Linked DNA regions of Caenorhabditis elegans. The protein of the gene in region 2 purifies or fractionates together with the protein of the main gene of each other region. This does not show direct contact. Each region holds a gene or a part of one and is shown on either strand. Other genes may lie near its edges. The genes, in order: top-2, prp-8, mog-5 and ddx-23.

Region 1 (7,816 bases), on a different chromosome or scaffold from region 2:
ACCGCCATCGGCCAAACTTCTGAGAATCAACTTATTCAAATTTCGTTCCAGTATTCAGCTGCTCATGCACCATGTGCCACGCTGGATGTGCTCGTTAGTCATAATATCCTCCACAAAGCAAGGACTATGACTAGAGACACATTCAGCTTGGCGCCGAATGCATTTTATTTTTAAATTTTATCTTTAAAAGTTTCCCTAATTTCTACATTTTTCTTCAATATACAATTGATTCTTCTTATCTGACTACCAAATCATCTCGAGTCTCCAGTTCTCCCGGGGAGGCGATTCCATGTGTCTCTCTAAATCTCATTGTTCGCCTGAATGTCTAAAATGTTCGACCTCAAAAACGGTAGAGGCCCAAGGACACGCACACACAGTGTGTGATCGATAGGGGAATAGAAAACAGTAGGAACAAGACGTTGGATGCAACGAAGAAGGACACAGACCGTTTACGACTTGTCATCGTCATTTCTCAAGCGACACAAACGATGAAGACCTGCATATAGGTTGGAAGCTTTGGAAATATAGGCATTTTCATTGCAAGAAGACTCTTCTCAATAATTCTTGAGACTCACATAAATAGAAAAATAACTTTTAAAAACAGTGAAATTAGGTAGGGGTAAATAATTTAGGCATAAGGGCGATAATTATATTACAGCAGTTTCCCTCATGTAAAAATACAAACTTAATATACGGGATGATTTGGGGGAGGATGGGGATGGTTGAGATCGTTAAAACGATTTTAAAATGATTGGAAAGAAAATAAATTAGAAACACTTAAGGAAGGTGGGAAACAAATTAATTTAATCCGAGTCGGAGTCGACGACGCGTCCCCTCTTCTTCTTTGGCTGATCCGAATCGGATCCTGAATCCACGTCGTAAGTTGGTGGCGCCTTGCGAGCTCTTCCGCTGAAATAATTACATTTTTTAAAAATAATTTTCAAACTAACCTCTTCTCTCTTGGAGCCACAACGAAGCTTTCGTCGTCTTCATCATCGGAACCAGCGGCCTTCTTTCCGTTCTTCTTTGAAGCACCAAAGAAATCGGTCACCGCCTTCGACTTGGGCTCGGCCGTCTTCGGAGCAGCCTTCTTTGGAGACGGCTTTTTGCTGGTGGACGGCTTCTTCTCAGCTTCTTCATCACTGTCGCCGCCAGACAGATCGCTGAACTCGCTCTTTTTCTTCTTCGGAGCAGCTTTCTTCGCTGGAGCAGGCTTCTTTGCAGGAACTTCATCATCATCTGACAAATCGATAACTTCCGCTTTCGCAGCTCCTTTTCCAGTACGAGGTTTTGGCTTTGAGACGACATCCTCACGCTCCACACCGTCATCGTCCGAATCGAAATCGATTCCTTCCTGCAAAAAATATTTTAGAAGTTGAAGAAATTACAGAGGAAATCTTACATCGAACTCCACGTCACTTTCCTCTGACATGTCAGAGTTGAAGCCGTCGCTTTTCTCCTTCTTCGCAGTCTTCGGAGCAGCTGGAGACATGAACTTTTTAATGTCCTGGCCTTCCTTTTTCACCTTCTTTGGTTCTTTCGGCTCCTTTGGCTCTTTCTTGACGCGTTCCTTCTTTGGCTGAGACATCTTCTCATATTTGGCCTTGGTTGCAGCATCCAACATCGGCTCAATGCGCTGTCCATCTTTGGATGGAAGGACTTCCGTGCACACATTCTTCTTGGGTCCACGTCCGGTCTTTGCGTCGGCAGCAAGCTTTTTGGCGGCATTTTTGATGCTGGCATCTTGATCAGCTTTCTCGCGAGCCTCCTGTTTGTCCAACTCAGACACGAAGTTGTCCAGATCCTCATGCCAAAGATCTTGCCAGGTCTTCTTCTCGATAACTCGAACCTCAGCCATCTTCTCCTCCGATTCCTTGATGAGCTTATTCTTCTCTTCTTCCGAAAGCTTGATGAGAGCCATTCCGACAAGGTAATCGTAGTCTGATAGCTTGGTTTCAACGGCCTTCGCAGCAGAGGAAATGGCTTCGTCCTCTTCGACGGCGACAGCAGCTAGATCATCTTCGTCCAGCTCGATCTCTCCAGATTCACGAAGCTCTTTGAGTTTTTGCTCCTCCTTCCACTTCTTCACTGGATCAGCATCGAACTTCATCTTGATCAAAACATCGACAATCGCCGCCTTCTTCTTGTTCTCGAGAACAATCTCGTTGTTGATCTTGGCGAGGATGAAACGAGCCTGGTTAGTGAGACGCTTGCTCTGAGCCTGAAGAACTCCGAGAAGGTACTCCTTTCTCTGTACGTACTTCTCTTGGCGACTATCGTAGAACTCTTGAGTAATCGCTTCTGGCGAAGTGTATGTACGAAGACATCCGGCAGCATCGAAAAGTACCATGCACGTAGTGTTGATGACAGCTTGGAGCTTGAAGACTTGATGAAGATCCTGACCGCGCTCCAATTCACGAAGTTTTCCCGGCGAGAGCTTCACGACGAACTTGACAGTTGTATCTGTGTGATACTCTTTGTAGTCGACGATAACAGGCGATTTCTTGTCCGAGCTCTCCATCAATCCTTCCAAAACCTTCTCTTTGTAGTCTTGAGTCCACTGTTTGATTGGCAACTCGGTGATCTCAATGGTGTTGTCATCCAGCACAGCAACTTCACCATAGCATGCAAATCGACTCGGGTCGATTTGAATGATCTTTCCGCGGAAGTTCTTGTACCATGGAGCTAAGGCTTTCTGTGGCTCGCCGGCGATAAGACGCTTGATGTTCTTGACCAGTTCACGTGGATTGTAATTAGGAATGTTCGTGGACCATCCAGTACCGATGCCTTGAGCTCCATTGACGAGTACCATTGGAATAATCGGGCAATACCATTCTGGCTCAATACGCTGATTTTCTTCATAAAGGAAACGAAGGACATTGTCATCGTGAGCCGGGAAGAGTGTACGAGTGACTGGCGACAGTTGAGTGAAGATGTAACGAGCTGAAGCACTGTCCTTTCCACCTTGGAGACGAGTACCAAACTGTCCGATTGGAAGAAGCAGGTTGATGTTGTTGGAGCCAACGTAATCTTGAGCGAGATTCACAATTGTTCCCATAAGCGACTGTTCTCCGTGATGGTAAGCAGAAATTTCAGCGACAGCTCCAGCCAATTGAGCTACTTTGACTTCACGCTTGTCTGCTCTCTTGAAGCACGCGAAGAGAACCTTCCGCTGTCCTGGCTTGAAACCATCCACAAGGCATGGAATTGAACGCTCGTTGTCGAGATTCGAGAAGAGGACCAATTCACGATTGACGAAATCTTTGAAGGTGACGAATCGAGTGTCCTTGTTGTAGAGATATTCTTCAGCAAGTCCCTGCTGCTTTCGGTCCTTCTTCTCCCGCATCCACTTCGAGAGCCAGTCTTTTCTCTCTTCAATCTTCTTCTTCGAGAAAGCCATGTCGACAGCGTTATCATCATCAGCTCCATTGTACTTGAAGCGGATACGATGACGAACCATGTCCAAGAAGTATTCCTTAGCTTCCTTAGAAGTCGATGTACCCAATCCCTTGTAGTACTTGATCTTGTACGACTTCCAGTTATCCGTATTCATTCTCCACTCAGAATATTCTGGGAGCGAATAGAAGGAAACTTCTTCTTTTCCTTTGGTGGCTTTGACAATTGGAGTGATGAATTCTTCTACGAAGTTCCGCTGAATGAGAGAAGGCCAGAAGTGATGGATGAAATTGATCACGAGTCCTTTGATGTGTGAACCGTCTTGATCCTGATCAGCCATGACCATCAGTTTACCGTATCGAAGAGTCTTGAAGTCATCTTCTGTCTCGTACTTCTTCTTGTATTGGAGTCCCAGAATTTTGATCATGGCATTGACCTCAGCATTATCGGCGATTTGTTTCATATTTCCTTCTCGGACATTTAGCAATTTTCCTCGAAGTGGGAATACTCCATATTTGTCGCGTCCAACGACTGAAAGTCCCGAAACAGCAAGCGTTTTGGCCGAGTCTCCCTCCGTCAGAATTAATGTGCATTGTTGGGAATTTTTGGTTCCAGCGTCGTTGGCATCTTCAAGCTTTGGAATGCCCTGAAATAAATATTAATTAAAACAAGGCCACGAATTAGATGAATTGTTACCTTCAGCTTGGAAGTCTTCGTCTTGGAGCACTTTTTGTTGAGGTCGTCCATTTGTTTGAAGCGAACCCAACTCATAACAGCATCGGTGATTCCAACACTTGAAGCCGCTTTGGAGAACTTCTCGCTGAGGACGCAGGTCGATCCGAACTGCTTCTGCTGCAGGGTCATAGTCTCTTTCGTCTGGGAGTCGAATGTCGGATTTTCGATCAAGCAATTCACAAAAACCCACATGTGATTTTTGATCTGAAAATTTTGATATAAAATTGAATATTTGGAAAATTTATTAGATTTGAATTCGCATTAGCAATTCCTCGCCTCAGATTCGCCTTTTAGTAATCACAAATCATCGGAAAGTTTAAAAATGTTGCGCCGCGCCTTTAGACACTGGATAAAAACTTTCTCCAGCGTCACTAAAGCGTCGCAATTTTATTTTTCACTTGGTGCACCGATACTTCAAAAGAATCGGTGAAATCTCTAGAAAAACCTTGAAAATTTTCAGATTTCTCTTATTATCGAGTCACCAAAGAGTTCATATAGCTATTTTGAGTCATCATTGGCGGTAAATATTTTAAATTCGACGAAATTTACCTGGAATGGCTTGATATTCATCGACGTCTTTGTGAGCTTCCGCTTGATCGAGTCGATGAACTTGGCGACCATCTGATCAGCCACGTAGTCCACGTGCCGTCCTCCTTTTGTGGTAGCAATACTGTTGACAAATGACACTTGTTGGAAGCCTTTTTCCGAAAGAGCCAAGGCGACTTGCCAACGATCTCCAACTTGCTCGTATGCGATCTTGAGGGGTTCTCCTTCATTGTTGAACTGCGAAGTGTACATTTGGACGTAGTCCTCGAATCCTTTGATTGGAATTCGTTTTCCATTGAGGAACACGGCGACTCCTTTACTGGATCCAGCCACATCATACGCACGCCGAGCCATCAAATGGCAGATGTCATCGTCCAGCTCCTTCATCTTGAACTTTGCCAGATCCGGCGAGAATGTGATCTTCGTGAAGTCTTCGTCGGTGCTCTTAACAATCTTCGGCTCCTCATCACGCGTCATGTTTTTGATCCACGTTTGCTTGAATGCACTTTTGTAATCCCGTGAAGACGTCTCCAGAGTGAATTTTGTGGAGAAGATGTTGCAAAGCTTTGCTCCATATCCGTTGCGTCCTCCCGTCACTTTCTTCTCATCGTCATTGTAGTTAGAAGATGTTAGAAGAGTTCCAAAAATCAGCTCTGGGACGTAGACTTTCTCCACTTTGTGCTGAGTGACTGGGATTCCTTTGCCATTGTTGTAGACAGAGATCTCATTTTTCTCCCTGAAAGAAAGCAAAATTAAATTAAATTCCTTTATGCTACGGTCTAAACTTACTTATTGATGGTGATCTTGATTGTGTTCATCTTCGGATCTCTCTGTTTGTTGTCAGCGGCATTCACAAGAATTTCATCATAAATCTTGTAGAGTCCCGGCACGTATGAGATGTCACGCTGCTCCAGCTTGCTCTCCTCCATGTTGTAGACCCACATCGGCGTCTTCTCGGTATGCTCGACCGAACCGATGTAGGTGTCCGGGCGAAGAAGAATGTGCTCGAGTTGGGACTTCTTTTGGTAGATATCCTCGATCGCCATTTGTTTCGAGCCACCACCTTTTTTGTCGATCGACGTGAACACATTGCGGTCCTCTTCAGTCATAACCATCGACTCGTTGGCTGAAAAGAAGCAAATTAGATTCAAGAAACTCTACAAATTAACCAACCATCATCTTTCTTTTTCTTCGGTGACGCCTTCTCCTTCTTTGGTGCGGTTTTCTTCTTGGGTGAATCTTCGATAGAGAATTCACTATCAGAGTCGCTCATTGTTAGAGATCTGGAAAAAGATGACATTTAATTTTAGGACGATCGGGAGAAAGAGAGAAAGAAACGCGGTGAATATTCAATAAACTTGAGGATGCGAAGAAAAATGAGTGAAGAGAAAAAGAACTAGCACACCAGTGGACATCACTGGACACTGAACACTGAATCGATGCAAGACAGCCGGCTAGAGAGCGCACAAAAAAACAACTGAGCGCGCCAAAATGAGCGTCCGATTCGAAATTGGCGGCCTAAGAGCGTCGGGTCTCGCAGCGAACGCGCGAAAAATACACAGCTGAAACGAGTGTTACCGTAGTTGTAGCCTCGAAATACGAAATTTAGTTTTTGTGTCTGCGTCTCTTACGGAAATGCATTGCGAGATAGAAGTTGTGTAATTTTTTTGCGAAAAAATTCAAAAAAAGTAACTTTTTGTTCTAAATAATGTTTTATTTATTTTAGAGAGCTCAAAATGTGGATTGAGATTCGTAAATTTTACGAACTCATCGTCTCCTTCACAGCTTTCGATGACGACCGAAAAATAAACGAGCTGTTCAACGAAATCGAGAAATACAGATGGCGATTGAGCAATATTCTTTTGAATCCGGTATGTTTTCCGACTGATGTTAGTGTAATAAACCTTTCTAATTGAAGAGACGAACGGGTAAAGATCGGGAAAAGCTGAAGCCAGGAAATGTGGAAATGGCAGGAGTGGAAGTTGCGCTAGACGAGGAAATCTGTTCGGAAGCACTCATTTTGTCGGATATCTTTCAATTAAATGAGCTGGAAGCTGTGGATTTGATTTTGGCCGGAGAAGCTCAAAAAATACATTTCGAAGGCCTCAACAGAGGATTAATCGCTGTCGTTTGCTACTATGATGCGCACAGGCTCCTAATCGCAACAATGCGCCAAATGCTAAAATGGGACCGAGAGGATATTCCTCAACGTATCAGCAAGTTCCTCAATAGCACATTCATCAACGAGGACGTGATCAAAAACCTTTTTCGTGGGTTTTCAAAAAATTATATTATCATAAATATTACTAATTTTTTTTTCCAATTTTCAGAACAACTAATCAATTTCACCGTTCAATCAGAATTTGCACGACTTCAATCTCCAGATGTCAACGGTTTAGGAGGCTCTAAACATCAGAAATTGGTACCGAATTGATTATAATTTTGGAATTCTTTCATAAAATTAATTTCAGGTCAGAAATGCCATTGAGGAGATTCGAAGTGAAGTAATTGGTTGCATTTCGATGATCTGTGAGATTCCGGGAGGAAACGCAGTTTCGATTTCAAATCATTTATTCCAAATTGTAAAGGCAGTTCCACCGGAGAAGCTCAGTTGTAGTAGCTTGACAGCCTGGATTTCTCTCGTTAAAATCACATCGAGTGAAGTGTTGTCTCAAGGTAATATTTGAAGATGGAGTAGCGATTTTTCTGTTTTTCTTTTGTGGTTTTTCTGTATTCGAGAATATTTTCGATTTTCTAAAGCAATTCTCGCTACTCCATCTTCATGCCTATACCCAAAAATCCAGTTACAAATCTGTTTGAGAGTTTACAGTTCACGATGCTCAACAAGTGCTCACAAACATGATCGCCCACATTCGGAATGAAACAGACTGGTCGGATCAAGCAATGTGCGGAACTCTACAGCTAGCATGCGCTGTTGCTCTGAAATCGATTGCCTCATCGCCATCAGATCATCTAGGGATCGAGAATATCAAGGTGGACGTGGAAAGAGTCATCGATCGATCTATCCGGAATATGGCTTTTCATTACTTGCGACAAGCGATCATCAAGTCGGAACACTTCCGTTATGCCCATCAGTTTATGATTATTGATGAGCTTCTGAAACAGCTGATTTCATATT
Region 2 (4,731 bases):
TTGAATGCACGCTGCGTGAGCATGTGTCTCTTGATACGAGACAAAGCTTCGTGAGGATTATCATAAGCCTGTTCAATTAAAGCCAGTTCTTCTCTTTGGGATTGATTCAATCTATTCTTCACACTGTAACTTTCCTTCAGTCTTTCAAGAGCCAAAATAAGAAGTTTTGTGTCGTGTTTGTAAGAAAGTGGTGGGAAAGGAATCGGAGAAAATCTTCTTGATTCCAGCCAATGTACTGTAGTCGTGTAAATTGCAACAGCTTCTTCTGCAGAGATATATGGTCCGTCCTTCAAGTAATTGTGTTGTCTTTCTTGCTCTGATTTCAGGTATAATCTTGTCAATCTACCCAAGTTCTTCTTGCACACAGTTTTGTCTACTGTCGCTCCTCGTCTTACACGTTCTCTGTTGTAATGTGCCGAATTAGTCCACCAATCAGCCTTTGCTTTCACATAACGTAGAATCATATTTTCAACTGGAGTTGGCAGTCCGGGAACCTTCCATGGAATATTAGCCTTCCAACATCTCCACGCCTCTGACAAATGCTGAAGAATAACACGAGCCTTATTTTGTTTGATTCCGTCCGGCATCATATCCAGAATGTCATGCATGACAGCAGCACTGAAAATATTAATAAATAAATTCGTTTTCTTGCCATTTAAAGCTTACCGTAATTCAAGATCGAAATGAGATTCAACTCTTTGCTTGGTGACTGTCTTGGCCACTCCCTTTGAATGTCTTCCTTCGAATTGTCGAGACAACAGATTTCCAAGCCATCTCTCGAGCAGTGGTGTGATTCCACGCAAGAAGAACAACCAAACTCTCCATCCCGGAGCCCAAAAACCACATCCAGGTCCTTTACCAACCGGCCCAGTGTTGAAACGATAGTAGATGAGATGCTTGAGATCCTTGCACATTCTGACTTGTCTCATGAGCTTGTACTTGTAACGATACATTCCGGTCAGTTGACCGACGTGAGCAAAGATATATTGTAGACCATCTGCAAGTTGGTACGCATCGACGTTGTTCAAACGATACTGAACATGGGCATCAACAACAAGTTTTGTGAGACGAAGGATTTCTCTGCACAAATGGAATGCATTTCCGAAACGAGATTTCTTTCTTTCCTTTGTTGTCAATGTTTTAACTGGTTTCAAATTGAAGTTGTAATCAAGATGAAGATAGTTGAGATTCTTTCGGTGAATGAGCAAATTGAGCATGTTGTATCCTTGACGAAGAACTTGCAATCCAGCTTCTACCCAATCCAGGGTGGTTGTTTGGAAGAATTTTGTTGCCTTGAAGGAACGGAACAGATAACGACGCTTCTGGGGCTTCGGTGGACGATGTTTGAGAGCGTTCAGAACAAACACCTTGAGCAGTTTCTGATAAGAAACACGAACTTTCACGGGCATTCCTGAAAAATTGAATATATTATTTCAGCTTAGTATGCGAGAAACGAAACGAAAAAAATAGAAACAAAACTAACCTGCTGGACAATGTTCTCTATACCACGATTTGACAAGTGGTACATCCACTGCTCTTCTCGTTCTTCCCGATCGAAGATTGAATGGCCGAGGGGCCCATAGAAGTGCTAAACCATTAGCCGTGTTATCGGTGTAGAGTGGAACGTCTTCAAAAATGGGTCGAACATCTTCAGGCAGCTCCCACTCGTCTTCCTCTTCACCTTCTGGTAGATTTTCTTCAGTCTGAAAATGTTTTGACATACAATACGAATTGTCTCCAGTTTTATTTCTAGATATCACCGACAAAAAGGATGATTTCTCGCCTTTAATGGAAAATTTATATTGCGAATTTCGGCTACTGACTACCTTGTAAATTTATAGGAATCTGTTTATAATATCCGCATTTTATTTTAAAACATTGCTGAAACTTGTAAATAACTCACTGCTTTCAAGTTGCTGAGAACGATTGGATTGATCAATGGATCATAGTAGAATGCGGGAAGATCTGGGTCTTCAGTTTTGATAAATACAACTGAAGGAGTATGATACCATGAAACTTGAACAGGCAGCGAGCTGATCAGATTGTTGTACATGAATGGGAATGCAATTCTGTACTCGGTACGAATTGGAGCTCGAATAATAACTTTATTGATATCATTGAACTCGTTCCAGTCTTCATCACTGAAAATAATAAAATAGTATGCGTCATAACACAACTGGAAGCTTTTCACTTACGTATGTAAATCTTTTACCAATGGTTCGAACTTCGGGCCTCCTGGAATTGCAACGTTGAGTGCTTTAGCAGTGAAGAAACTTTTCATGTCAAACAAGTAGAAGTAGTTATCATCTACTAAATCGGTAAGCAGCTGATTTGCAAGACGATACAATGTGGACATCTGTGGAATACTGAATGCCCATTTTCTGTACGTTGGGCCGTTCACAAATCGAGTTGTTGCAAGAGGCTTGTGATCGTAGAACCATTCAGCAACAGCTCCGTCTTCTTCTGGATCTAGTTCCATTTGAATTGGCTCTAAAGGCTCGACATCCAGAATATTATCAGCATAATCGAGAGGCGGTTCTTCATCGTCAAATGGAGGGAATCTCATTCGCTTGAAATGACGACGATCACGTTTTTCTCTTCTCATCATAATCCACATCGTTCCCCATTGTGCCATGTAGACCGGCTCGATGACACGCGGAATGTCGTTGACAAAAGTGATCGCACCGGTGATGTGATACAGAACTTTTACATCTCTGATTTGTTCCCAGGGCATCGGCATGTTCTCCAGTAGCTTCAAAACGGCATGTGGCATATATTTCAAAGCACCGAGGTAGACTCTTTTATCATGACGATATTTGCGAGAAGTCATATCACCATGATCTCTGATAACTTTTCGGACGTGCTCAGGTGGCATTTCTTCTTTCTGCGTATCGGACATTCCAAACTTCTTTTTCTCCGAATACCGCTTTCCTTGAAGTTGTTTCCATTTTCGAGACTTTTCTTCCAGAATTGAATCCGGGATAGCATGTGGTTCAGTTTGGGGATGACCGCCGTAGTTGGCCATACCTATAACACACTATATAAAAATAGAATTAAAACTAATCAATGAGTTGACGAGCAAGGAAAAATAAGTATTACTGTAGAGAAACTGGAAAGAGAGATTTGTCTTTGTTTAGACTGTAAGATCACATGAATTGATAGTTGGAATTGTGCATTACAGTTAATAGCGCACAAAATTTACATTAAAAAACGGAATTTATTCAGACTGAACCAGAAAATCATGAATAAAAACCGATAATTTCTATTTTCGAAAGTAAAATTTAAATTTCCTTAAATCTAAACAACGCGCGCAATTGTGTCGAGTGGAGCGTCGTACTTAGATCTGCAGGTGTTTGAGGTTACGGTGCCCGGTAATTCAAACACTCTTCGGCGTAATGTTTCGATCAATAGACCCGCCTCTTCTTGGCAGCCATTATTTGCGTTCGCGTTCGCCGCCGCCGAGGAAAGACATCTGCCCGAAAAAATTTATTGATTTTTCGAAAACTTATTGGCATTTTCTATTGCCCTCAGAATCTGAGTAAAGCTTCTGAATTGCAACTTTTCCTTTTTCAAGTCATGTGACTGGGGTAATATCATTTTTTCGAAACTGTTCCGAATTTTGTACAAATATCAATTTTTCGAAAAGGAAATTATTTCCAAACTGTCATTGTTACCCATTTTATATTGAAATGTACCACATTTATTCCTCATAGACGAGTTCATGAAGATCTCCTTTTGAAAACTTTAAAAACTGTCCAACTTAAAAAAAAGGTAGTATTTTCGAATATCAAACGGCGATTTCGTAATTTTAATACTTTTCTAATATGTGTAATTTTTCGTAGATCGGTTTCGAAAATCGTATTGCTTATTTCGTAACTCTAACAAAGAACTCCTGCTTTTCGTAAATAATTCATTCGCGGAGTTTCCCAGTTGTTGTGTCTTTTTGAATTTAATCATTTTCTTTTATTTTTATCGAGATTATCGGGAATAGCTTTCTTTTAATTGAATTTATTTTCAGAATAACCTCTTGCTCGCTCAACTTATCAACAGAGGTAAAACTTATTCGCAATATAATATGTCTTCACGTTCCTCGTGGTCATCCACGGAGCAGATTAATCGCACAATCAGTTCCAGAGGTTAGTGAGAATAGCTCAATTAATTTGAGAGTTTAACATTATTTTCATTTTCAGCTGACGATCTTCCTCCACAACCTCGCCGTCTAGAAGTAGTTTCGAAGCAAGCAACGCGTGTGACGGCACTTTCTACAAAATTGGAATGGAAAATCGAACAATTTGAGAAATTGATGAAACTAATCAAAAACGGTTCGAATCTTATTTCAAGAATGTTTAGTGTCCCTGATGCGCCAACAGTTTGCTGGGAACTTCATGTGTATCCAAATGGAAAGCGTGATGAAGATGTGAATAATGTATCGTTTTTCTTGAGACAAGTTGGATTAGCCGTAAGTTTCATTCATATTTTCTATATATAAAATATAAAAACCTTTTTCAGAGAGGAGAGGAGCCCATCATGACAGAATTTCAAATTTATGCTCTCGATGCTAATAATCAAAGAGTCAGTGTATGCAGAGATACCAAAGATTTCACAAACCAACAAGGGCGTGGAAAGTTCCAAGTTTCGCGTGATAAGATGCTTGGGGCACTTCGATCTGACGGAACTCTCTTTTTGATTTGTGAAGTTGAATACTTCCCTCCTGGATCAAAAATATCAGTT
Region 3 (7,996 bases), on a different chromosome or scaffold from region 2:
TTCTGGTTTCGTTTGAATGTTGATAATTTGGTAGAATCTCCGATTTTGAAGAATGACGGTGCAAATTCAACAAGCCATTTTGGATCGATTGCGGTGACCTGGAAATTGAAAATTAGGTTTTTATTTAATTTCTTATTTAGACTTAAATAGTTTTTGGCCCTAAATGAAAGAATAAAGTCTCCATATGCCAAATATGAATTTTAAAAATGTATATAATTTCTCTAAACTTTGTATTTTTTTTTCAAATTTTGAAAATATTTCAAAAGGGAGCATAATGGCCTAGTTTCGACATTTTTGTGTTTTCCGCCTACAGTACTTTTCCGTATATAAAATTGAAATAAACTTACTTCTCTCATATATTCCTTAGTTGTCATGACGAGTTCATGATATACAACCCATTCTGGTTGTTGTTGGAAACATGCTGATGATGGATGAATATAAACATTCTGTCCATCAGTCAATGTTCGATATCCTTCCTGTGGATCACGTTTTGCAGCATTTCGGAAGAATCCAGAGCAAATAGCCTTCTGAACTCTCGATACATCCCGTCCACAACTGACCATCAGAAGTTTATGACGATCCATGATTCCGAGTAATTGCTTACGAATGTCCTGAGCTCTCTTCATACTTCTCACTTGAATGAAATTTTCGAAACACCATGGTTGTGAGAAATGATGGTTTTTCCATGAATTGTAAACCGCTAGAAGTGTCAAATGATCTCCTTCTGGTTGATGGAATTTCGCCTTCTTCTGGTCAGCATGATCCTGTTTTTCTTTAGGTCGATAGAAAATGTTTTGCACATTGAGCATTGCCACAATCGTAAGAACTTCTTCTGAGCATCCCAGATCGACAGACATGATCAACAATTTGGAAAGTGATGGTTCCAATGGAAATTCAGCCATTCGACGACCAAGTTTCGTGAGAAGACCATCTCCATCAAGTGCTGAAAGCGTGTGAAGTGTATTGAGAGCAGTAATCATTGAATCCAGAGGTGGAGCATCCATGAAATCAAAATCAATCAAATTATTGATTCCCATAGCTTTAAGCTGAAGAAGTGTTGACGCCAAATTTGTTCGCTGAATTTCTGGAACAGGTGTCGGAAGCATCTCATCACGGAATGCACGTTCTGTGTAGAGACGATAGCATTTTCCAGGTCCCGTACGTCCTGCACGTCCTGATCGTTGCTTTGCTGCGGCTTGTGAGATTGGGGTGACAACCTGAAATTTATATTGTATTTTCGTTCTTATTTATCAGAAAATTGTTTTTTAATATCTCGAAAAAAATTATCTTATTTTGAGTAGCTAATAATTTTAATTCGTCTAATTGCAAACAATATTGAATTTTATTGCATCATTTTCAGTTTCTGGTGAAAACATTTTTTTTTCACTTTTTTTTCGAATCAAAATTTATGAAAAAAGGCGAAAAATGTATGATTCACTTTTTCGAAAAAAAATTTGTTAAAAAAAGGCGAAAAAATATTTATTCCACTTTTTTTCACAAAACATTACACTCAAAATTAAATATAACTCTACAAATATTTATTCTTGAAATAATAAGAATTTTCGTTTCAAACATTTCAAAAATATAAAATTTCAGTTTTTTCCTGTTTTTGGCGAAATAAATTGTTTCGCTTCGAACAAAATTTTTTTTCTTGTTTTTGGTCTCTCTGGTAAAAATGGATTTTTTTCTTCGTTTTTTTTAAGACAAAAACCAAAAAAAAAAAGTTTTTTTTAAAAAGAAATCCGAGTTTTTTTTGTTTTTGGCAAAATATTATTTTTTCGTTTTTCGTCTTCGAAAAAACTTGTTCTCCTGGTTTTTGAACTTTCTGGTAAAAATTGATTTTTTTTTTCGTTTTTTTAGCCGCTTTTCGTGTTTTTTGAAATTTTTTTTTCGTTTTTTGTCTTGTTTTTTGGTCGAATTTTTTCGTGAAATCCCTGACGGGTGCATAAATGCTTACCAAGGAATCCATTCCACTTTTCGGATTGTAAATCTTCTGTTTCACAAATCCTGGATCAACGACATAGAAAATTCCATCAATTGTCAAAGAAGTTTCGGCAATATTCGTAGCAATAACAACTTTTCGCTTTCCGGCAGGAGCTGGATCAAAGATTCTTGTTTGCATTTCACTTGGAAGAGCTCCGTAGACAGGAAGAATAATCAGCTCCGGCACATCAGGTCCCATTGATTTCATTCGTTCATATAAAACTTCACACGATGTATCAATTTCTTCTTGTCCAGTCAAAAACACAAGAACATCACCAGGTGGCTCAGTCAAATGAATTTGCATTACAGTAATATGTGCAGCTTCAAGGTAATCTGATTCTGGTTCTCTTGTGTACAGGATCTCAACGGGGAATGTTCTTCCAGGAATTGTAAAGATCGGAGCTTCCAGGAAATACTCTGAAAATTTAACTGAATCCAAGGTGGCACTAGTGATAATCAGCTTCAGTTCCGGACGTTTTCTAGCAGCAGCTTTCAATAATCCAAACAAGACATCCGTATGAATTGTACGTTCGTGAGCCTCATCAAGCATAATCAACGAATATCCAGAAAGATCAGGATCAATAAGACATTCTCTCAGAAGCATACCATCCGTCATGTACTTGATAATAGTATCTTGACTTGTACAATCTTCGAAACGAATTGTATATCCAACATCAGTTCCCAGCTTACAACCGTACTCTTCTGCCACACGCTTTGCTACGGACATTGCTGCAACACGACGAGGCTGGGTACATCCAATTTTACCACGTCTTCCAAGTCCAGCTTCAATTGCATATTGTGTCATCTGAGTAGTCTTTCCTGATCCAGTTTCTCCAACAACGACAAGAATTTGATTATCAATCATTGCTTCCATCAGATTCTTTTTCAACGCAAAGATCGGAAGACTTTCTCTCTGCTCAACCATACTCAAATTGGTTCTTCTTCCATAAGTCGCTTTTCCACCAGCTGTCACATGTTTCAACCATTCTGGCATTTCTTTCATTTTATTATTCCGATCCTTTGACTCATCAGCACTCCACGCAGTCGACTGATTTCCAGACATAGGATCAAGAATTCGAGCATTTGAACTGAATCCTTTCTGTGTATCCATATCACGCTCTCGTTGTGCTTGAATTTTCGTTTCTTTTCGTTCTTTTGAAAGAGCACCTTGCATTAAAGCTGCTTGAGCTAATGAACCATCCGGATTTTTGACAACTTTTACAGGTTCTATTTCTGCACCGCCTTTTCCATATCCACGTAAAAAGTCAGGTTCGTCTTCGACAAGCTCGATTTCAATATCCTCGCCATCACTTTCATCTGAAAATTGAAAAATTGTTGTGCTTTAAATGATAGAAACTTTATTTTAAATATTTAATGATTTTTTTTTAAATTTAGCTTTTTTAAAAATTGTCTTTGAATTATCGGGAAAATCATTTCCTTGTAATTTTTCGCATTTTCCTGCTAAATTCGAAATTTTTCCTTTGATATATGCAACTTTTGTCATATTTTGGCTTGTCTGTTGAAACTAAAAAATCGTCTTAAAAACGATAAATTAGTGTCGATTTTTGAGGAAAAATGTCTGCGTGCGCGAATTCAAAAACAATTTAGTCATTTTCAGGAAAAATTAATTTGTTTTAATTCAAAAAATTTTACAATTTTTCTTGATAAATTATTAAATCATAAATTTTATACCATCATTTTTTTCATGTTTTTTTTTCAATCTTGCTTAATTTTTAATTTTATTTGAATTCCCGGGAAAATTATTGCCGTAATTGTAAAGTATTCGCATTTTTCAGGCTAAATTCGATATTTATTCTCCGATGCATCTTTTGTCATACTTTGGCATTTTTCAGTAAAGAAAACCAAATTTAAATTTTGTTGAAAATAAAAAATCGGCTTAAAAACGATAAATTACTGTCAATTTTTAAGGAAAAATGTCTGTAAAACATCATTTTTAGTCATTTTCAAGAGAAATTGAAATTGTTTTCAATTAAAAAAATTTTGCAGTTTTTTTTTTAAATATAAATTATTTTTAAAAAATCATATACCGTATTTCCTCTATTAGTCTTGCATGCAAGACTAATTTTCGATTGACCCGTAGGGGTGCAAGACTAATAGAGACTGCAAGACTATTAGAGGCTGCAAGACTAATTTTCGAAGACCCGATAGATTTGTTCAATTGGCCATTTATCGTCACAAATTTGACTTGAAACAGTCTAAATCATGCAAAATACATACTTTTCTATTGTTTTATCAATTATTTTAACACTTTAAAATTTAATTTAGCTATAAAATGGCGAAATTGTTGAAGTTTTCACAAAATACTGCTGGTCTGGCAAGAATAGGGGTGCAAGACTAATACCGTATGTTCTCTATTAGTCTTGCATGCAATACTAATAGAGGCTGCAAGACTAATTTTAGATTGACCCGTAGGGGTGCAAGACTAATAGAGGAAATACGGTAAGCAAAATAAAGCACCATTTGCGCGGAATTCAAAAATAATTTAGTGATTTTCAAGAGAAAATAATTTTTTTTTCAAATTTATCATTAATTACTAGATCATAAATAAAATACTCACCATCATAATTTCTTAGAACTCCCATTTCTTCATCAAAATCAGGCATATCTGTGGCTGTGAGAACTCCGGCTCCTTGCATTTGTCTTAATTCCCACCGTTCAGGTGTCGAAATTCGAACTCTCGCCTTTCCACCACCAATTGAGGTCGAAGGACCTTGTCCTACTCCACTTGCTTCAGGATTCATCCACGAGGAAGTTGATGCTGGCGGTGTCCGTGGACGAACTCCGATTGCATCCGGATTCAGGTCGGTCTCGCGTGGATTCAAATCTTCTCCACTATTCTGATCGACTTCTTTCATTGACAACGAGATTTTTCCATTTTCAATCTTATTAACTTTAACTTTGACATTTTCTCCTCTTTTCAAAACATCTGCGACGGTTTGAACTCGTTCATTTCGAATTTGGGAGATGTGAACAAGTCCTTCTTGTTTTTGACGGAAACCTTCCAGTGTGATGAAAGCTCCGAACGATTGAATACTGTTTACACGACCATCGTAGATTTTTCCGATTTCTGCAACTTCGGATTTTCTAGCACCACCATCATCTCGTCGATCACGCCGATCTCTTTGTCTGTCGTCTCCTCTTCGATCCCCACGTCCTCTGTCTCTGTCTCTGTCCCGATCCCTCCTATCTCGATCTCTTCTGTCTTCACGACTCCTACTACGTCTCCGACGATCCCTGTCACCACTACGACTTCTTCTTCGTTTTCGATCACGACTCCTTGATCGACTTCTTGAACGGTTTCGTTTTGAATCTGATTCCTTTTGAAGACGTTTCTGTAAATGGAAAATTTATTTTAACAAATTTCAAATATCAAAGATACGTACCTCACTTTCATATCGGCCTTCCATCTTTTCTAACTGAGCCATAAGATCATCTTCATTATCTTCCTTTTCTTTCGCAGTATTTGCCATCGCTAGAGCTGGAAGTCGTGCTTTAATTTCTTCTTTTGCATCAGAAATCAATGTAATTTTGTGTGAATCCTTGATATCTTCTTTTGAATCACCACCTTTCTTGTTTTTCTTTTTAACAGCAGTCATGCTTTGTACTATACGAAGTATGGTCGCAGTGAGGGAATCATCAAACTGAAATTTAGAATTAAAGAGAGGAATATCGAGACTTTTATATTTATGAGACGAATAATGTTTTTTTTAAATCTCGATATTTGATATTCATCAAAATATTTTAAAACACCTTGAATTAAAATAATTTTGAAATTTCCTTTAAAAAAATAATTTAGTCGTTAAATTTTCTCATATTTCAACATACCTGATCCCCAAGTCCCTGACTATCCAAAGCCTTTTTCAGTTTATCAAATGTTGGATTCTCTTGAGCCAAATGAATAACAAACTCAGCGACATCTTTTTCGACGACACCAAAATGGTTCTCAACTTCACTGAGGACCTTGCTCACAAGTGAGAGGTGCTCAAGCTGGTCCATCCTGAAATTTACAGATAAAAAATTTAATAAAATAATTCTTTAAAGCAGTTTTAATTCCGAAAAACTCGAACAATAGAAAATTAGAGTAAAAAAACAAATTCGAAATCTAAAATAGTGGGCGTGGTCTTTCATGCAAACTGCGGCCCGCTTTTTCGCAATTGTGCCGCACAGTGTGCAGCTTTCTTTAATTATATTTTTTCAACAATTATTTTTTATTTTATTGAAGCTGCCGGCTTTCATTTCGTTTGTAAATATGTTTCATTGTGTTTTTTTGAATTTATTTTAGTATTTCCAAAAATGGATATATAAGTTTGTGTTAATGTAAAATCGTTATTGCAAATACCCTTTGCCTTCAAAGTTAACAAAAAACAAGGTCTTTTAAAGCATGATTTTAAATTTAAAAGCTGTTCAAAAACTGCAAATTTTCTAGATTTTCTTTGAATTGGTGCTTTTGAACGTTTCATAGTGACCAATGTGTCCCCAAGCATCCGAATGTCCCGTTTTCTGCGTCTCTTCACTTCCGTATAATCTCTAACCCGACTCACTGGTAAACATGCGCCATTCCTCCTCCGAACAACGACTAGTGAAAATCGATCAAAATTGTTTTCAAATTTATTATTAATGTTTCAATTTCAGAAAACAGTTAAACCTAAAAAATGGATTTCAATCGAAGCTTCACATCGAACCTCGGGAGCGCTGGAAGTGCTAAATCACAACAGGTTAGAGAACACAATTCGATTTTTTGTCTACCAAATAAATGTTAATGTGATAAGAAAACACTAGGGAACAGTAGCCAAATCAAATCATATGGTTCTGTTATCTTTTCTCTCGAAAAAACGTTTTTTTCACACATTTTCAATTTTTCAGAGTATGTTCAAAGCACTCCGCCGGCTTCATGGACAGAACTTGGAGAGCCGAGGGCTTCATGATATGACTGAAGCATTTCAGTCATTTGTCACAAGGGCACGGTTTTTCAGTATTGGAAAATTGAGGTAATATCAACATTTTAGCTCTGGTTTTTTCTAAATTAAAATTAAAATATTTTCAGGCGAACTTGGTCCCACTCTGCCGCAGAGTTTATGAAATATCGACGACTTTTACCAATGTTACTCGCCGATGGAGATGCATTTGATGGAGGAGAAACAGACGGTAATAAATCTTAAAATTTGGAAAAAAAATCAATAATTGTTTTTTTTTTCAGATTTCGATGCATCTATCGCTTTCCAACATACTTCTCGTGATGATCGAAAAATCGTGGTTTCGAATATTTCTGCTAAAGTCACCCAATCACAGCTTCAATCCTTCTTTTCTCAATATGGAAAAGTGTGTTGTTTTAATTATCATTTAAATATAAAATTTTAAAATTAAATTTCCAGATAACCAGCTGCATTCTGCCTCGCGAAGAGAAAAAGACATCAGTGTTCGGAACACTTCCAAAGCATTCCAGAAATTGTGGAACTGCTACTATTACTTTTAAGTATAATTTAAATTTTTTTGGTTTGTTCAGGTCTTTTTAATAATACAATTTTTGCAGAAAGTCTGAGCATGCTGATCGCGCGAAAAATGCGAATCCTGAAGAGTTGAAGTTTTATGATCAAGTTATGGTTGTCTCAGCTGTAAGTTTTTGATTTGGGATTTAATTTTTAAACCAATTTATCTTGTAGTATGTATCGAAAAAACGTGGAGGTAAAGGTCTCGTGCTCAGTGATGATGTTGGAAGTCGTGAAGATACTCCATTGTCCCGTGCTTCATCTACACAGTCGTTAGCTTCAGGATCCGAGCAATCATTCAATTTGGGAAACGTCCCGGATAAAATTCTTAGAAGGGTCATCTCATTTTTACCAATTCACGAAACAATTCGATTGGAACGAGTTAATAAAAAGTTCATGGAAGAATCAATTAAATCCTGGGAACTTGTCAATAAAATTGCATTGGCAAGAGAAACTGTATTCAACAAGCAACGACCAATGAGAACAAGTCATCTTAAAATGAGTTT
Region 4 (6,746 bases), 2.3 Mb from region 2:
CCAGTGAGTCTTTCCTCCGTGAAAAACCGTGGATTTGATCTTCAGGTTTACGAGACCTTTTGAGAGCATGTCGGCCCATTTTTTTTGACAACATTATGATTTTGTTAGGTTTTATTCCTTGGCGAAGGTTTTTTGGAAAAACGATTCGAACACGTCGACGAACTTCTTATTTTTATAATTATCTAACATGTACCCAACCTTTAAAGATTTATTTATTTATTTTCAGTTTTCCTTTTTTCACAATAACTAGTAAAACGTATTTCAAAATACTATTTTATTTTATTTTAAAAAAATTATGATCAGTGTGGAGTGAAATATTTCAGATTTTTAAACTTTCAATTTCGTTTCTTAAAATCGAAAAATTAATTATTTTGCTTCCTAACATGAGAATTCATTTAATTTGAATTTTTCCACGAGACTAGCTTTAAAACACACATTCTCCGAATAATGTGCTCTTGGAAATCCGACAGAGAGCAACTTTTCATGATCATTTTCCTATTCTGGAATTAATAATGAAATTTGAACGGAATGATGGGGTCAGGAGTATTTATTTAACAGATCTGGTAGAACAATCATATAAAAATTGAATAAATAAATATAAATGTTGAGATTTTCCAAACAAAAAAGAGAATTATCACTTCAAGAACAATGTTTCATCTTGTCGTTTCTTTGATGTAAACACTCCAGGCTTACTCTGTGCATCCGGATGATTCGCAAGTTCAGGTGGGCATGATGACACTGGCGATTCGACCAGAACCTGGAAAAAATACGAGTTAAAATATTTTTATTAAAAGTATTTATTGAGTGATACATTTTCTTTTGAAACTTTTGAAAAAAAAAACTTTCAAAAACGATTATCTTGGAATTAGACGGAAATTTTGAAAATTAAATTCAAAACATTCATTAACGACTTAATTAAAGGGCATCTCATCGAATTAACCTTATTCGAATAAATTTTTTTCGGAGTTGTTTCTTTTTTTCATTGTAATTTTAATTCGCTTGCAGTAACTACAGTAACCCAAAAGTGGATTTTTTTTTTCTAAATTGTTCAAGAACGCTTAAAATATTTTTTTTAAATATTTTATGAAACGATTAACTGATGTTTTCATTTTTAACTACTTATTTCATCGATTATCTTTCAGAAAACCGAATGCAAATCTTTTCTTTTTTGTTGATATTTGGACAAAAAATTAAATTTTTTTTGTTGGATTTTTTATCTTTAAAAAATTTTCATTTTTTCATTGTTCTTTAAAAATAAAAATTAAACTAAAGTCCTCAATTTTTCGTTTTTCTTGTTTAGTTTCTTCTTTAATTTTTCGCAAATTTCAATTTTTATTTTTCGACCTAAAATCAAAACAAAAATTTTTTGATTTTTAGGTCCAATATCATTTTTGGTGTCCGGTTTCCGTCACAATTTTTACCTGCTTCAAGTCGAAATAGACGGCAGTATCGTCAGGTGTGAGGAATGTGATTGCTTTTCCATGTTTACCAGCTCGACCTGAAATTTAAAAGAAATTATTATATGTGATCAAGAAGAAAAGTGTGGAAGTTTTCAGATGCTAGTAGCTTCAAAATTTATGAAAACTTCTACGCATTTTTTTTCATTTTTTAAAATTTTCTTTAAATAATTTCTTACTGCTCCGCTGTTCTTTATCTTTTTTCCGTTGTAATAAATCATACTATGTGGAGATAAATTTTAAAAAAATGATGTCCTCAAGAATCTCATATTTTCCCAAAACAGAAAATTACACTTCATCAAAAAATTTCCACAGAAAAAGTGAATAAAAACATACCAGTTCTACCAATTCTGTGAGTATAGTCTTCAATTGATTTTGCCATATCGTAGTTGAGTACCAGTGATACATCTTTGACGTCGATACCTGAAAATTAAGTGGATATTATTTTGATTTTCAAAACTTTGAATTTATAATTTTTTAGTTACATTTCGAATCAAACCTCTTCAATTAGTTTTTTTTTTAAATAGGGGAATCTCAAATTTTTGGGTTTTCATTCAGAAGAGTTTGAAACTTTCAAGAAACGTTATATACCGTATATTCTCTATTAGAGCGGCATGCCGCACTAATTTCCGGGCCCTTCGCGACGTGCGCTCTATTAGAGACTGCCGTTCTACTGGATACTGCCGCACTAATTTTCGATAACTAATTTTCATATTGAAGTTACTACTGTTGGGAGTAGTAACCTCAAAATTTCCTTATAAAACCTCATATTTTATGGAAAAATTCGTGAAAATTGTGTAATTTTGCCTCACAAAGACACTAAAATTCAATATTTAAATGAAAATTTATGAATTCATTCAAGAATGAACAAAAATATCTTCGAAGAAATCGAATAATTGAGGTGGCTCTCGCACCCAAAAAAAGGGGTGCCACACTAATAGAGACTGCCGCTCTAATTTTCGAAGAGCCAGTTAGGGTGCCGCTCTAATAGATACGCCGTACTATTAGATACGCCGCTCTAATAGAGAATATACGGTATATATATACTTGAAAAAAGTATTTGAATCAACAATTTTTTTCCAAAAAAAAAAACGAACCTCTTCCAGCAACATCAGTAGCCACAAGAATATCACTCGTTCCTTCTTTAAGAGCCTGCAGAGCGTATTCTCTTTGATCTTGACCTTTTCCTCCGTGAAGAACTGTTGGCTTGAAACCAAGTTTGGTAAGACCTTTTGAGAGCATATCAGCACCTTTCTTCTGATTGACAAAAATAATAATCGGTGGTTGGAATTGTGATTCGAGCACTTCGACGAGCTTCTTACGTTTACGATCCTCTGGAACCATGTAGACTACCTGAATACGAAATATTTTGGAATTTTTAAAAAACTTGAAATTTTTTTGAAATTTCTTACTAAAAAATACTAGCCTCTGAAAAAAGACACTGAAAACAGAATTCCCCCTTTCTGCGTGGTTTCAATCCAGAGATGGGACTTTTTTTTGGCATTTTTTGGTAATTTGACGAAAAATTAATTTTTTGATTTTATTTTTTAGAAAACCAACAAAAAACCAAACAATTTTTCACTTTTTTCAGTTAAAAAACAATTTTTTGGGTGTTCTTAATTAGTTTTTAGCAAATTTTAGTTAACAACTTTTATGAAGCTACTTTAGGAAGCTGCCTTAGTTCTAGTAATTTTTCTAGTTCAGCTTAATGTCGAAATATGAAAAACGATTCTCATAATTATTTTTCTTTTCTACCAAGAATAAAATAAATTACCTGTTCAACTCTTTCTGTAGGCTTTCCAGCAGATCCAATATGTACAACTGCTGGTCTTCTGAGATATTGTCTGGCAAGTCTTTCGATAGCTGAAGACATTGTAGCTGTGAACATGACAGTTTGTCGATATTTCTCTCTTGTTGAGAATCCCTTCATCAAAGCTTCTTCATTATCGAATTCATCCGTATCTTTCTTCATATTTGTATCTGGCATGTACTCCAGAACCTTCTGAACATCTGGTTCAAATCCCATGTCAAGCATTCGATCAGCTTCGTCAAGGATCACATAGGTACACTGATTCAGGAGAAGATATCGATTTTCCAGAACATCGAGAAGACGACCTGGTGTTGCAATGACCACTTCAACACCCATTCGAAGCTTCATTCCTTGATCTTCTCTGCTGGCTCCTCCGATTACTGAAACGGTCTTGATACCGAGAAGCTTTCCGAACTTGTTGGTTTCCTCTTCAATCTGCTGAGCCAATTCTCTTGTTGGAGCCATAATAATAGCATATGGACCCAAGTCCCGATGTTCTTGTCGTTCCATTTTTGGAAGGCTTGTGATCCATACAAGCAGCGGTAGAAGGAAAGCTGCAGTTTTTCCTGATCCAGTTTCAGCTACACCGATTACGTCACGATTCTGAAGACCAATTGGGATGGCTTGTCTCTGAATAGGTGTAGGTTCCAGATAACCAATTTCTTTGACAGCTTGGTAGACTTCATCTGGAAATCCAGCTTCTTCCCAATTACGAAGAGGTCGTGGAACTCTGCCTCCTTTAATAGAAATATTGAAATCTTCACGGAAGATACGCCAATCTCTGTCAGACATCTCAGAAAGTTCTTTCATTCTCCAATGACGATCATCATGAGCCACTTTCTTTTCTTTTTTCAGTTCTTTTTCAAGGCGATGCATCTCTTGCTCTTTCTCATCAACAGTTCTTCGATTTTCCATCATTTCCTGGTAGAACGAGTTCTTCTCTTTTTTCTGAGCATTCACATCCGTTCCAGCAACAGATCCTCTTCCAAAGAACTGAATTTCATGTCGACTTTGATATAATTTGTTATAATCCTGTGATGTATCCTCTCCAGCATCCCAATCAAAAACAAACTTTTTCTCATGAAGTCTCCGTCCTCTTTTCTTCTTTTCCTTCTGTTTTCCAAGATATCTGTCTTTAACAGCATCTGCCATTTTACTAACATCTTCTTCATTATCACTATCCTCGTTTCTATCTCTTTTCCGATCATCATTTCGATCCCTTCTATCTCTACTTCTACTTCTATCTCGACGCCTTCCACCATCACGATCACGGCTCCTGCTCCTTCGTCGTCTATCTCGAGAACCACTTCTCTCCCGACGATCCCGTCGACGATCACGATCACGTTCCCGTTCACGGTCTCTGTCACGATCATTGCCTCGGTCAAGTCCACGATCTCTTCTATCGTCTGATGTTTTTTCGGTGCGTCCCCAATTTTTTCGAGCTTCTTCAGCTTGTTTTTGTGTTTCACGCAGTTTTGCGACCTCCTCTTCTCTTCGTTTCAGAGCCAATGCGGCCCGCTCGGCTTTTGACAGAAATTTTGGCTGAAAATTTGAAAATGGTTTGGTTTTTAAAAAATATGCGATGTTTTTTGAGATATTAAAAAATAATACATACCTTTGCCAATTCATCTTCTTCTCTTTTCTTCTTTTCCAGAAGTTCCTCAAGTGATGGAGGTTCAGCAGCCATTTCTCTGGAATTTAAGAACTTAAATGTTTGGAAAACTAATTAAAAATATGCTTTTACAATGGGAAAATGTAAAAAAACCAATTTTTAACATAAACCTACAGAAATGCATTCACCCTTTTCGTATATAATACACGCGACCGAGGTGGTATTTGTTAGGCCGCGCTCTCTTAGCGGGACATTCGAAAATGTCAATTCTCCGAATATCATATTAATTTTCTATAGAAATAAAGCTTCGCGCACATACACAACCGGAAACCAATCATAATAATATTAAAAGCAAGAAGCCTTTATTGCGCAAAATCAAAAAGGAACGTGCATGAAAAAATCAACAAATTCTCAAATGAAAAGCAATAAATTTTGATGAAAATTTAAGAAATTGGGGGATAATAAAGAAAAAGAAAACAGATCGATCTTTGTTGATTATCGCTCGAAGAAAGCTATAAAAACAAACGGTAAAGTTGGGCTTGTTGAACGGGATGGGGAATATTATCAAACACGGCAACAGATCATAGAAACGGACACACTGGGGGGAATAGAAAAACAATTTTAATATTTATTCTGGTTGTGGCTGCTTCAAGTTGGTCATACCAGCGCGCATCACTTCATCAACAAGCAAGAGATTGCATGCAAGTACTGTCGCCGACGAGATACTGTTCTTCTTCACCGTCACATTGTCCCAAATTCCTTGTGGCTCGACAGCTCCTCCGGTTTCGAGATCGAGTCCAACGGCGATATCTGGTCCAGCGGCGGTTTTCTCCTCAATAAGCTTAACAAGTGTTTCCTGAGCATCATATCCTCCATTTACGGCCAGTGTCTTTGGAATAACGAGAAGAGCTTGAGCAAACGCTTCAGCTCCGAGCTTGGCACGTCCCTTCAGGTTCTCAACATCTTTTTTCAACATCACGTAGGCAGCAATTTCGAAAGCAGCAGCTCCAGGGAGAACAGCCTCTGAAAATAGGTTACTAGAACAGAAGTTAATAAAATTTAAACTCACTGTCAACGATGGTGTTGAAAACAGCACGAAGTCCATCATGAATAGCATCCTTGATTTGAGTGATGGTATGCTTGTTTGGTCCCTTGATAAGAAGAGTCACAGATTTTGGAGCACGGCATTCCTCGATAAACGTGTATTTCTCTTCTCCAAGGGAATGCTCGTAAACGAGTCCAGCCCATCCAAGATCCTCTGGAGTCAAATCATCAACTGAGTTGACGGCTTCTCCTCCGACGGCCAGCTGAAGACGTTCCATGTTACGTCTCTTGGCACGACGAAGAGCAAGAATTCCTTCGGAAGCAAGCAAGTCAAGAGATGGAGGATCGATTCCTTTCTGGTTGATAACAACGAATCCCTTATTCTTACCATCTGGAGAATTATCAATAACCTTCTTCTTCAACTCAATAATCTTGTGAACACGACGAGTAATGAATTCACGTTCGGCAGCGAGAAGTGCCTCACGTTCCTTGGCGGTCTTGTAGAAAAGTCCCGAGTTGACTTCAGTCTTCTCGTATTCCAAAGAAACGTTGCAAGTGAGAATGTAAGCGTCTTTAACGTGTCTTGGCATATCTGGGTGACGAGCTCCATGATCGAGAACTAATCCACGAACAAGTGTGGTATCCATATCACTGTCGTGGTGCATTTCCATCTTTTCAACCATATGAAGATCTGGTTCCTCTCCATCACGACGGATTGCCAAAACGGCGTCGACAACGCATCTGAAATTAAGAAGATAATGTTTTTTACTACTTTTTAATTGTTTGTTTCTTACTCGGTGATGTGATCAGCAAGTTTCTGATG

The links.
Region 1: the proteins of prp-8 (region 2) and top-2 fractionate together in Caenorhabditis elegans (co-fractionation; one large-scale study listed by BioGRID). This does not show direct contact.
Region 3: the proteins of prp-8 (region 2) and mog-5 fractionate together in Caenorhabditis elegans (co-fractionation; one large-scale study listed by BioGRID). This does not show direct contact.
Region 4: the proteins of prp-8 (region 2) and ddx-23 fractionate together in Caenorhabditis elegans (co-fractionation; one large-scale study listed by BioGRID). This does not show direct contact.

Annotation. Positions count from the first base shown.
Region 1 is NC_003280.10:11,873,291-11,881,106, reverse strand, and holds top-2 (DNA topoisomerase 2 top-2), read right to left. Parts: upstream 5,960-7,816; 5' UTR 5,951-5,959; coding exon 5,851-5,950; intron 5,804-5,850; coding exon 5,467-5,803; intron 5,414-5,466; coding exon 4,681-5,413; intron 4,648-4,680; exon of another isoform or gene 4,553-4,647; intron 4,552-4,552; exon of another isoform or gene 4,491-4,551; intron 4,477-4,490; exon of another isoform or gene 4,405-4,476; intron 4,336-4,404; coding exon 4,093-4,335; intron 4,043-4,092; coding exon 1,403-4,042; intron 1,355-1,402; coding exon 951-1,354; intron 910-950; coding exon 804-909; 3' UTR 519-803; downstream 1-518. Other genes in the region: npp-3 (Nuclear Pore complex Protein), read left to right, coding at 6,414-6,548, 6,596-6,947, 7,008-7,099, 7,149-7,353, 7,508-7,816. UniProt on the Caenorhabditis elegans protein: Control of topological states of DNA by transient breakage and subsequent rejoining of DNA strands. Topoisomerase II makes double-strand breaks.
Region 2 is NC_003281.10:8,162,671-8,167,401, reverse strand, and holds the start of prp-8 (Pre-mRNA-splicing factor 8 homolog), read right to left. Parts: upstream 3,030-4,731; 5' UTR 3,026-3,029; coding exon 2,196-3,025; intron 2,142-2,195; coding exon 1,904-2,141; intron 1,863-1,903; exon of another isoform or gene 1,730-1,862; intron 1,704-1,729; coding exon 1,484-1,703; intron 1,412-1,483; coding exon 667-1,411; intron 619-666; coding exon 1-618. Other genes in the region: bath-42 (BTB and MATH domain-containing protein 42), read left to right, coding at 4,076-4,136, 4,191-4,459, 4,510-4,731. UniProt on the Caenorhabditis elegans protein: Functions as a scaffold that mediates the ordered assembly of spliceosomal proteins and snRNAs. Required for the assembly of the U4/U6-U5 tri-snRNP complex.
Region 3 is NC_003280.10:5,397,543-5,405,538, reverse strand, and holds the start of mog-5 (putative pre-mRNA-splicing factor ATP-dependent RNA helicase mog-5), read right to left. Parts: upstream 6,002-7,996; 5' UTR 6,001-6,001; coding exon 5,830-6,000; intron 5,646-5,829; coding exon 5,388-5,645; intron 5,337-5,387; coding exon 4,562-5,336; intron 3,301-4,561; coding exon 1,958-3,300; intron 1,218-1,957; coding exon 348-1,217; intron 99-347; coding exon 1-98. Other genes in the region: fbxl-3 (Putative RNA-binding protein EEED8.10), read left to right, coding at 6,657-6,719, 6,868-6,992, 7,049-7,149, 7,202-7,323, 7,377-7,477, 7,535-7,616, 7,665-7,988.
Region 4 is NC_003281.10:5,848,310-5,855,055, forward strand, and holds ddx-23 (putative ATP-dependent RNA helicase DDX23), read right to left. Parts: upstream 4,961-6,746; 5' UTR 4,955-4,960; coding exon 4,883-4,954; intron 4,810-4,882; coding exon 3,232-4,809; intron 2,811-3,231; coding exon 2,555-2,810; intron 1,881-2,554; coding exon 1,794-1,880; intron 1,499-1,793; coding exon 1,422-1,498; intron 758-1,421; coding exon 635-757; 3' UTR 529-634; downstream 1-528. Other genes in the region: cct-6 (T-complex protein 1 subunit zeta), read right to left, coding at 5,508-5,902, 5,949-6,664, 6,718-6,746.